2 linked regions of the Nothobranchius furzeri genome follow. The protein of the gene in region 1 interacts with the protein of each later gene in a pairwise test. Links are inferred from orthologs where the notes say so. Each region holds a gene or a part of one and is shown in the gene's direction. Other genes may lie near its edges.

Evidence for each region.
Region 2: the proteins of trim59 (region 1) and vti1b interact in binary tests that used the Homo sapiens proteins (3 or more experiments, as listed by UniProt). The two-hybrid records come from large-scale screens. The link is inferred for Nothobranchius furzeri from reciprocal best matches to the Homo sapiens genes TRIM59 and VTI1B.

The regions. Positions count from the first base shown.
Region 1 is NC_091753.1:52,625,547-52,630,061, reverse strand, and holds the start of trim59 (tripartite motif-containing protein 59), read left to right. Parts: upstream 1-1,507; 5' UTR 1,508-1,636; intron 1,637-1,695; exon of another isoform or gene 1,696-1,860; intron 1,861-2,231; 5' UTR 2,232-2,286; coding exon 2,287-2,541; intron 2,542-2,614; coding exon 2,615-2,836; intron 2,837-2,919; coding exon 2,920-3,129; intron 3,130-4,515. UniProt on the Homo sapiens protein: E3 ubiquitin ligase involved in different processes such as development and immune response. Serves as a negative regulator for innate immune signaling pathways by suppressing RLR-induced activation of IRF3/7 and NF-kappa-B via interaction with adapter ECSIT.
Region 2 is NC_091758.1:18,878,067-18,882,557, reverse strand, and holds the start of vti1b (vesicle transport through interaction with t-SNAREs homolog 1B), read left to right. Parts: upstream 1-1,539; 5' UTR 1,540-1,671; coding exon 1,672-1,768; intron 1,769-1,866; coding exon 1,867-1,925; intron 1,926-4,491. UniProt on the Homo sapiens protein: V-SNARE that mediates vesicle transport pathways through interactions with t-SNAREs on the target membrane. These interactions are proposed to mediate aspects of the specificity of vesicle trafficking and to promote fusion of the lipid bilayers.

The DNA.
Region 1 (4,515 bases):
TTGCCTCCAGTGTGTTTCTTTTTTATTTTTAATTTTTACTTTAATTTTCAGCTTTTAGTTTCACTGCTTCTGTAAAGGTGAACGATCATATTCCATCCTTCTGCCCAGACCCTATCCTGAACACCTGACATGGGCTTGATGCTGTGAAAGTTTGACCCCCCCCCCCCCCCCCCTCCATCACCAGTCAACCAAATGACCCGTTCCTCTCACAAAACCACGTTCCTCAGCCTTTACAGCAACACCACTGCTTTTGCAGTACGGCTGCAGCAGCTTTCATAACCACAGGAGAGGAAAACCACGGCCATCCTGCGTAGAATTGTGAATCCTCCCCTTTGCATGTACTAAACAACAGCACAGTTATTTTTTAGGGTATTTTAGTTCCCTTAGGCTGTGAATACAGTGTAATTTTTTTATTTTAAGTAAAGCTGTGCTTAAATGTTACATGTTTCCCTTTCCCTGACTCCTCACTGTTGTCCGGTTTGCTAAATAATTATTGTTTTGCACATGTATTGCAAAGTGAGGCCTGAAGTCTTTCTGAAGGTGTTGCTGCTGGTGGGTTTAATATGTTTTGACCTGCCCAGACACCCTTACATTTAAGCATCACTCAGCCACAGTCTGTGTTTTCTGGAATGATCCAATGATAACATTTAGTGATACTCGAGACAATAATGAGTTTATTTCAGGAGCAGCGGTAGTGAATCTAATGTATCTCAGCTTCACTGGAAGGGGATTTAACCTCCCTGTTCACGGTCAAAGGTGTCCCATGCGTCAGACTGGAGATGTTCTAATGGGGGTTTCCTGAATCGTAAATAAACCCATGAACAGGTTTGCTGTAATTGTAGTACCTTGCAGAGTCTTTAGCCCTTTTTTGCTCCTACAAGCTAAGTGTACAAGCTTACCCTCATGTTTATTTTTCTGTTCACTTCAAACACTAGTGATGATTACACATTGTGCTCAAAACCTTTTGTTGAACATAGGGGTACTTTTTTGTTTTATTTTATTTTTTTGCAGCATTCCTTGTTAGCAAAGTGGTTTCAAATCAAAAATTATGACCTGGAAGGAATAGAAAAAGCCTATAAAACCTTTCAGGGGATGTTGGCTACCGGCTAAGTTGTCTTTAAGAAAAATAAATAGTGAAACACAAACCCAAAAGTGTGTGTGTGTGTGGGAGAGAGAGTGAGTGAGAGAGACAGTTCTGTTGTGAAATGAAGTATAATTAATCCTCTAGTGCATTTTCCTCCTGACGCCTCCCTTTCTCCTAATTGTTGGGCCTGAATTTAAACTGGAAAACGACGCGACCTGATTGGCCTGAGCAACAGATCGAGCGCATGCGCACAAGCAGAACGAGAAACTGTGCGTTAGGAACTACCGGAAAACTAAAACTTCCACATTTTACAATGGAAGACTTTTTTTTCCAAAAGTAAAATCTTACGGTGGCAAGAGAAGTTGCATCTTAAACTATTCTGGTCCCAAAAACTAATAAAGTACTAGACAGCTTTACCAGAAATGAGGTGAGACGTTTTATTTCCTGTTTAAGCTCGTGTTGCTGGACTTTACTGGATGCACCTGAAGGCAGCACCATCAGGGGAAATGAAAGCTGTTTGGGACAAACGCTACACGGCCGAGCAGAACCGCGGTGAGTCTAAAAACTTCGGGAAGACGGATTTTAAGGTGATTTGCGTCGTGTCACCTCACGAGAAAAAGACTGTGTATCGCAATAGTTGATCAAATTTACGAATGTTGCTTTTAAAGTAGTCTTTAAGCCTCCCCGCCGCGTGAGAGTGCCAGTTTTGGGCTAAAAGAAAGAAAAAAGGAAGCACAAACTATCTGGACACTTTAAACTCATCCCACAGGCCACAGGTAATGGTTTGATCCGAGACACCACTGTTGGCTCTGGGCTCTGGTGTGTGTGTGTGTGTGTGTGTGTGTGTGTGTGTGTGTGTGTGTGTGTGTGTGTGTGTGTGTGTGTGTGTGTGTGTGTGTGTGTGTGTGTGTGTGTGTGTGTGTGTGTGTGTGTGTGTGTAACGAGGAGAGGGGGTGGTCATTGTAATAAGTAATAAGATCCTGATCCAGTGTGAGCAGCACTAACAATAATGAGACATGAGAAACATCACGTAGTGTTTCCTTCAGGTATTTGTTTTATTCTTTGAGCATTAATCAGTCAGATCTTTAGGTAAATTCCAAATAAAGCTTGTTATCTGTTGTGAATTATTATAATTTTTGTCCAACAGGAACCATCCTGCAGAAGTGACAGACTTTGTTCCACCAGAGTCCTCTAGATCCGTCATGGAGACCCTTGAGGAGGACCTGACGTGCTCTGTGTGCTACTCTCTGTTCTGCGACCCGCGGGTCCTGCCGTGTTCTCACACCTTCTGCAAGACCTGCCTGGACAGCCTGCTGCAGGTGTCCACCAACTATTCCACCTGGCGTCCCCTCCGCCTGCCTATAAAGTGTCCCAACTGTTGCAGCGTGGTGGAGCTGCCCCCGATGGGTGTAGATGCTCTGCCCACCAATGTGTCCCTGCGGGCCATCATTGAGAAAGTAGGAGAGGCTGGCCCGTCTGTTCCCGTTTGTCTGAAATCCTTCTGACGGGCTTGTTTCTTTTTACTTTCAGTACCAGACGAACAATGCGCCTCGACCCCCGTCCTGCCAGGAGCACCACAGACAACCTCTGAACATGTACTGCATCCAGGATCGGCAGCTGATCTGTGGTCTGTGTCTGACCGTCGGGCAGCATCAGGGACATCCCATAGATGACCTTCAGGCCGCCTTCATCAAAGAAAAACAGACTCCATCGCTGCTGCTCGCCAGACTTTCGGAGCAGAGATGGGCGCAGGTGGGCGTCGGGGTTTGGGAGCAGGAATTCTGTGCCGTTTTTGTTTTGATTAATACGTCTAACGTCTTGTGGCTGTTGGTTAGGTGTGTGACCTGGCAGAGCAGCTGGAGCAGGACAAAGCCCGCTGTGAGGCTCTAGTGAGGCAGGACAAACAGGAAGTGGATCAGTTTTTTCTTGTGCTGGAGGGAATACTGGCCAGGAAGAAACACGCCTACCTGGAGGCTTTGGATAAAGCTGCTGCAGAGGTGTCGCTTGCATATGACCCCCTGATCCACAGAGTCAAGGAGCTTCAGGTGTGTGGACACTTCCACAATCCCAGTTCTTAGGGCTGCTTTGAAGTTTTGACTCATTTGTCTTCAACCCTCTGGGGTCCGTGGACGCTTATCCGCGTCTTTTGAACAGGTCTGATTTGGGACGCTGTAGCAGCAAGACTCCGCCTCCCTGAGTTTCCGTTTCAATTCAGCTTTAAAAAGGAGATTATAAACTACACCCCAGTTTTTAAATTGTGTTAATAAGCAACGTAAAAGCGGAGTTAAACTAAACTAAAAAATGACCTTTTTTTAGACAATCTGATAACTTGTCAAACAGCAGTTTAGTAATCCGTGAGAGGGAATGTGCTTGTGAACATAAAAAACCCACAAAAACATGAGATCCTTTTGCTGTTGCTGGAAGTCTCACATATTCAACTGATAAAAAGTATCATCATGTAGCTGAGAGAGAGAGGAAGGCCGCACGAGTAACGAGATGTGCGCAAAAAGGAGCCGCTTGGCGGGGAACGGAGTGGCGCGAACGGAGTAACAACAAACAGTTAGACAGATATTGATGGTAAACTTCATATTTTGGAGCGATCCGGACAGATATGTTGTCTCTGCAGTTTAGTAGGCTTTTATTAGGCTTATATAAAGGATGGTGAGAAGGATAAATGTCCACCAGGCAGTTCGGCTGTTTTTTGAACTGGAAGCAGAGGAAGTGGACGGAGACTCGCAGCCGGAGTCTGAAGCAAATAGCGAGGATGTTGATGACGATGTGGCAGATCCATCCTTCCTCATAGAAGAGTTGGGTCATGATGAGGTAGAGGATGAAGGCAGAGATCCAGCTCCTCGGAGATCCAACAAGAGGAGTGGGCGGCGCCGCGCAGCTGTCAGATCTCGATCTCCGCGGCGTGAGACAGAGCCACTCCCCACTCCAAAATGCATGCACATTATTGCCAAATTAATAAAATAAGTATAAATTCAGATAGTCCAGGTTGTTCTGAAAAAAATGATACCCCATAAGGCAAAATTTATTGTTTTTGTTAGAAAATACAAAAGACAAACCAAAATGAGTCAAAAACGGTGATTTACACCCAGGACCCCAGAGGGCTGATATTATTTTTTTTATTTGTTATTTGCCATATTTATTCATATTTTTTATAAATGTACAGTCTAGATTAACATTCTAAATTATAAAAAACATTCGTCATAAATGTTTGTTGGTTTCACAGTAAAATAATCCAATTCGGATTTTATGTTTTTGAGTGATTTAAGGTCTAATATGCAACCCCTTTATGTCCAAATGTAAAAAATAAGTATAAATTCATAAAGTCCAGGCTGTGCTGAAAAAGGCAGTGGTTATGGCTTTTATTTTGGAAATACAAAGAAAACTCTAAATTAGTGAAAAACGGCAAATTACACCCTGGA
Region 2 (4,491 bases), on another chromosome or scaffold:
GGGAGCAGGAGGAAAAAAAAATGTATGGGGATGTGGAGGAATGGTTGATTGGCCTAAGCCCTCCAGGGAGCTAGCTCCTCCACTGGCCCCAATAGGCACCTCTGTTCCCAAAATGCCACCCAGGGCATGGAGACCCCAGCCCACCTAGCCAGGGCCCAAAGCAGCAGCATCGCAGAGCCCTACGGAGTCCGAGGGCACCAACCCAGCCCCACCCCAGCAGAATATCTACTCCCATCCCTGCATTTGCACAACTTCCAGAATATGTAAGACATAAGACATCAGGTAAGGTTGGGTCCTCCCCCTCCTGGACAACCCCCTCCCCCGTGATGTGACAGAATTGTTATTATTTCAGAGGAGCCAAGGTCCACCTGAGGCCCCTGAGCCTGGGCCAGGCACCGCCGTGTGTTCCCGCCTTCTTCCCAGCAGCATACAAGTTAGGAGCCAATCCCCAAGGCCCCGCCCAGATCCCCACATGGGGGCCAGCTACCCCCACACCCTTAGCCCCCAGGCCCCCACCCAGACCCACTCAGGGGTGATGCAGCCACCAGGCAGCAACCCATCGCCACCGTCAAGACCCCCCAAGGGGCTCCACTCACAACCGCCAGTAATCCACCCCTCGAGGCAACCCAAGCGCCTCCAGAGTGGGACAGCAGCCCCCCAGCCCCAGACACCCCCAGTGAATCCACCTCCAAGGAACGTCCGGATACTGCAAGCGCAGACCCTCCACCCCATCACCCACATCATCCCGCAGGACAGTATCAATGACAACCCCCCCCCCCCCCCCACACACACACACACACACACAATCACCTCTATGTGATGGAACCGATCAAAGGAGCCCATATAGATTGATTTGAAGTGGAAGAAGAGGCTGTCTCAAGTGTAATATGATCCAACAAAAGATTTATATACTGGTTAATGCAAAGAGTATCTCTATTTTTCCAATTCATGAGGATAGTTTTTTGAGCGACGCATATGGCAGTCAGAACCACGTCAACCAAAGGTGTTTCAATCGGGACATCATCCAGGTATCTTGCTATTCTTTATAGGTAGCCTTGTATCTAAATAGTAAATAATTTATAAAACAATAATTCTGTACAAAATTGATTATTATTATAATGTATCTATAATTTAGGCCCATTATTGTTTTAGGAAATAGCCTGGCTAGAAAATAATGTAAACAGACAAAGTAAATGCACACTAATATAAACTTCGTTCATTTTTATTTAATATTGTAGTGACTAGTAATAGTTTATCTTATTTTATGATGTTTCAGTTGTCTTTTAACAAATGTTTCAAATCTTTTTTAGAAGAATTAGCGGAAAAACTACAGTTCCCAGAGACCGTTTAAAGCTGTCTACCTTCGTGCCTGAATAAAATACGTTAAAATAACTTGTAAGACATTTAAATAGTGTTAAGCATATTGATGGTATTGTCACATTCATCTTCAGTATTGAAATAAATTTCACCGAACGTTTAGCATGTGAATACTTCAAATTTGTAGCAATGTTGTAAAGTTTAGGCACTTGGTCACGAGAGTCGTCATGCGGCAGCGGAAGAGTCTCATCGAAGCACAAGCAGTTGATCCACTTGTGTAGTTCGTTCCGTCCTTTAAAGAAAAAGGTACAGGTGGCCTTTTTATGACAGACAGCGAGATTACATTGACGGAAAATGTCGTCGGAAGAATTTGAGAAGTTACACGAAATCTACAGATCCTTGTATGACGAGCTAAAGCTAATCCCAGAGAAGGCTCTCAGCTGTACCGGAGGTAAATAAACCCGTTGTTCCCTCATTTAACCTCGTTTAAGTGTCAAATAACAAAACCTTCTTGGTTTAAACCTCGAACTTGTTCTGTTCCTAATGCAGAGGAGAGGAAGAGACTGGTGAGGACCTTCGATGAGAGACAGGGGGAAGCTGATGAAGTGGTAAAAACGTTTGTTTACGTCAACATCTTCACTTGTTTCTGTTTGTTATTTATTAACAGTGAGTGTTATAAATAAGGCCAAGAGTTTGCTGTAATTATTACCGCAAAACATCAACATAAGTACAATGACTGGCTGTGATGCTAAAGCTAATGTAGCTGAATGCATCTTGTGTGTAAAAACCATCGACATTAATATATGGACAATGGGTTTCCATAGACTCCAATAACACGTTTTTGAGGCTAAATGGGAGGTGGCCACCACCGCCATTTTGACCGTGTCACAGGTTCCGTCAAGCCCAGACAATTCCACAAAAGGGAAGAGAGGAGGAGCTGAGGGTGGGGCTGTAAGGCTGGGATCAACTGACAACACCCGGTCGAGCTATCTACAAGCTAACCTGAAGCTAACCCAAAGCTAATGCGGATGTGGGAGCTAAGCTATCGGAGGTAGCAACCTAGCTACAACTGGAGTTAACTGTGCACAACACCAGAGCTTCTGAGTCAGAGGTACGCCGGGCTGACCGCTGGGTAAAATACGGTGGAACCCAGAGGTCTCGGAGACCTCCACAAGCCGGCAGCCGCACAGTACACAGAAGCCGCGATCAGACAGATGCGTCGAGCTGCTGGGAGAACCAGCCGTCAGCTCGCTGCAGCAAACAGAAGCTGCGATCAGACAGATGCGCCGAGCTGCGGGGAGAAGTGGCGTATTTTGGCGGTTCTGGCTTGCCATAAGAACCAGCCGTCAGCCCGCCGCAGCACACAGAAGCCGCGATCAGACAGCGATGCGCCGAGCTGCTGGGAGAACCAGCCGTTAGCCCGCGCAGCTAACAGGAGCCGCGATCAGACAGAGATGGACCAGGCTGCGGGGAGAAACAGCCGGCATTCTGGGTGGAAAACATCGGTCTCCCGAGAGCTCCACAAGCCGATAGTCGGAACCCAGCTCCACCAACATGTTATATTTCAACCCATTTTCTAAAGTGCAGCATTGTGTTAAATGCACTGGGTTTTACCCTATTACATTTAAATTTCATGGTTAAACAGTACATGTTAAAATCTAAGCTCAGCTTGGCAGTGACCTAAAATACATAAATATAATTTTACTTACCGAAAAAAATGAAGTGGAGACTCCTTGGACGCTCTATTAGTGCAATTAATGCCACAGCAAGTCATTTTGTCCAACAATTGCACAAAAAATATCCAAAAAAGAATACACAAACACAGAGACTCAAAATCCCGGAACAGTTTCCAAGCCAGACTGAGGCTCTACTGAGGCCTTTCCACGGAGCTAGCTCTGTGGTCACGTGTGTCGGATGCTCATTAATTATACAGAATTTTAGGCTTTTAATACACTTAAACAGAAGAGTGAGAAAAAAAATTCACCCCCCTCAGAGTTGTCATGAGTATAAACTAGATCATTTAAACAAAAAACATGTTTTGGTACCAGGCTGTAAACATGTTTATTTCTGCTGTGAAATTGGCATTTTTAACATGGGAGTCAATGAGGATTTGCTCGTTTCTGACACCAGCCCCCAGCGGATGAGGGTGGAACTGCAATTTCTCTTACTTCCGGGTTGGCCTCAAATTTAAAGCCACATTGTGGGGGCCTGGTAAAAACGCAGCTTTACACTTTAAGCAGAGAGGTAGTGCAGTAATCATTAAATCAAAAGTCTATTAAACTTCAGTGTTAAAAACACAGAGGAAGATGCTTAAATACGTGCCTCACACTGCCAACTTTATTCGGTACACCTTGTATCTGCAGGGTTAGATCAGAACTACCTTCTCTCTTCATGTCATTGATCCAACAAGATGTTGGAAACTTTCCTTAGAAGTTCTGGTCCATATTAACATAACATCACACAGCTCTGTTCATAAGGAAAACCTCCTACTCCACCACATTCCATAAGTTCTGGACTGAGATCTGGTGACCGTGGAGGCCGTTTTTGTCCAGTGAACTCATCGTCATGTTCTAGAAACCAGTTAGAGATGCTCTGAGCTTTGTGACATGGTGCATGATCGTGCTTGAAGTAGTATCAAAAAATGGGTCCATGTGGTCATAAAGTGATAGACATGTATGGTCAGCAACAAGGTTGTGGTACTTAAACTAGGCTCAGCTGGTACTAAGGGGTCCAAAGTGGGACAAGAATGCCACCAGCAGCAGCTTAAAGCATTGATGCAAGACAGAATGGACCCATGCTTTCATGTTGGTGACACCAGATGAATTGAAGCCTCAGTATCCTTTTCTTAGCTGACAGGAGAGACACATTGATGTGGTTTTCTGCTGCTGGATCTGCTTCAGGCATCATCATGTTGTGGTTCAGAGATGCTGTTCTGCAGACCTTGGGAGGAACGAGTGATTGTTGGAGCTGCTGTTGTCTTTTTATTTATTTTTTTACGGTGTCCTGTCCGGCTGTGAAGCAATCAGAATTGATGTCTGAATGCCAAAGATAAGTAGTATTATTAATTGTATTATTTAGTCTGGCAACGCTCTAATTATGGCTCTCAGTTGTGGGGCAGGTTCAACCGTTGTCTTTCAAATGATCTCCGCATGCTACTGGACAATGAATGTGACA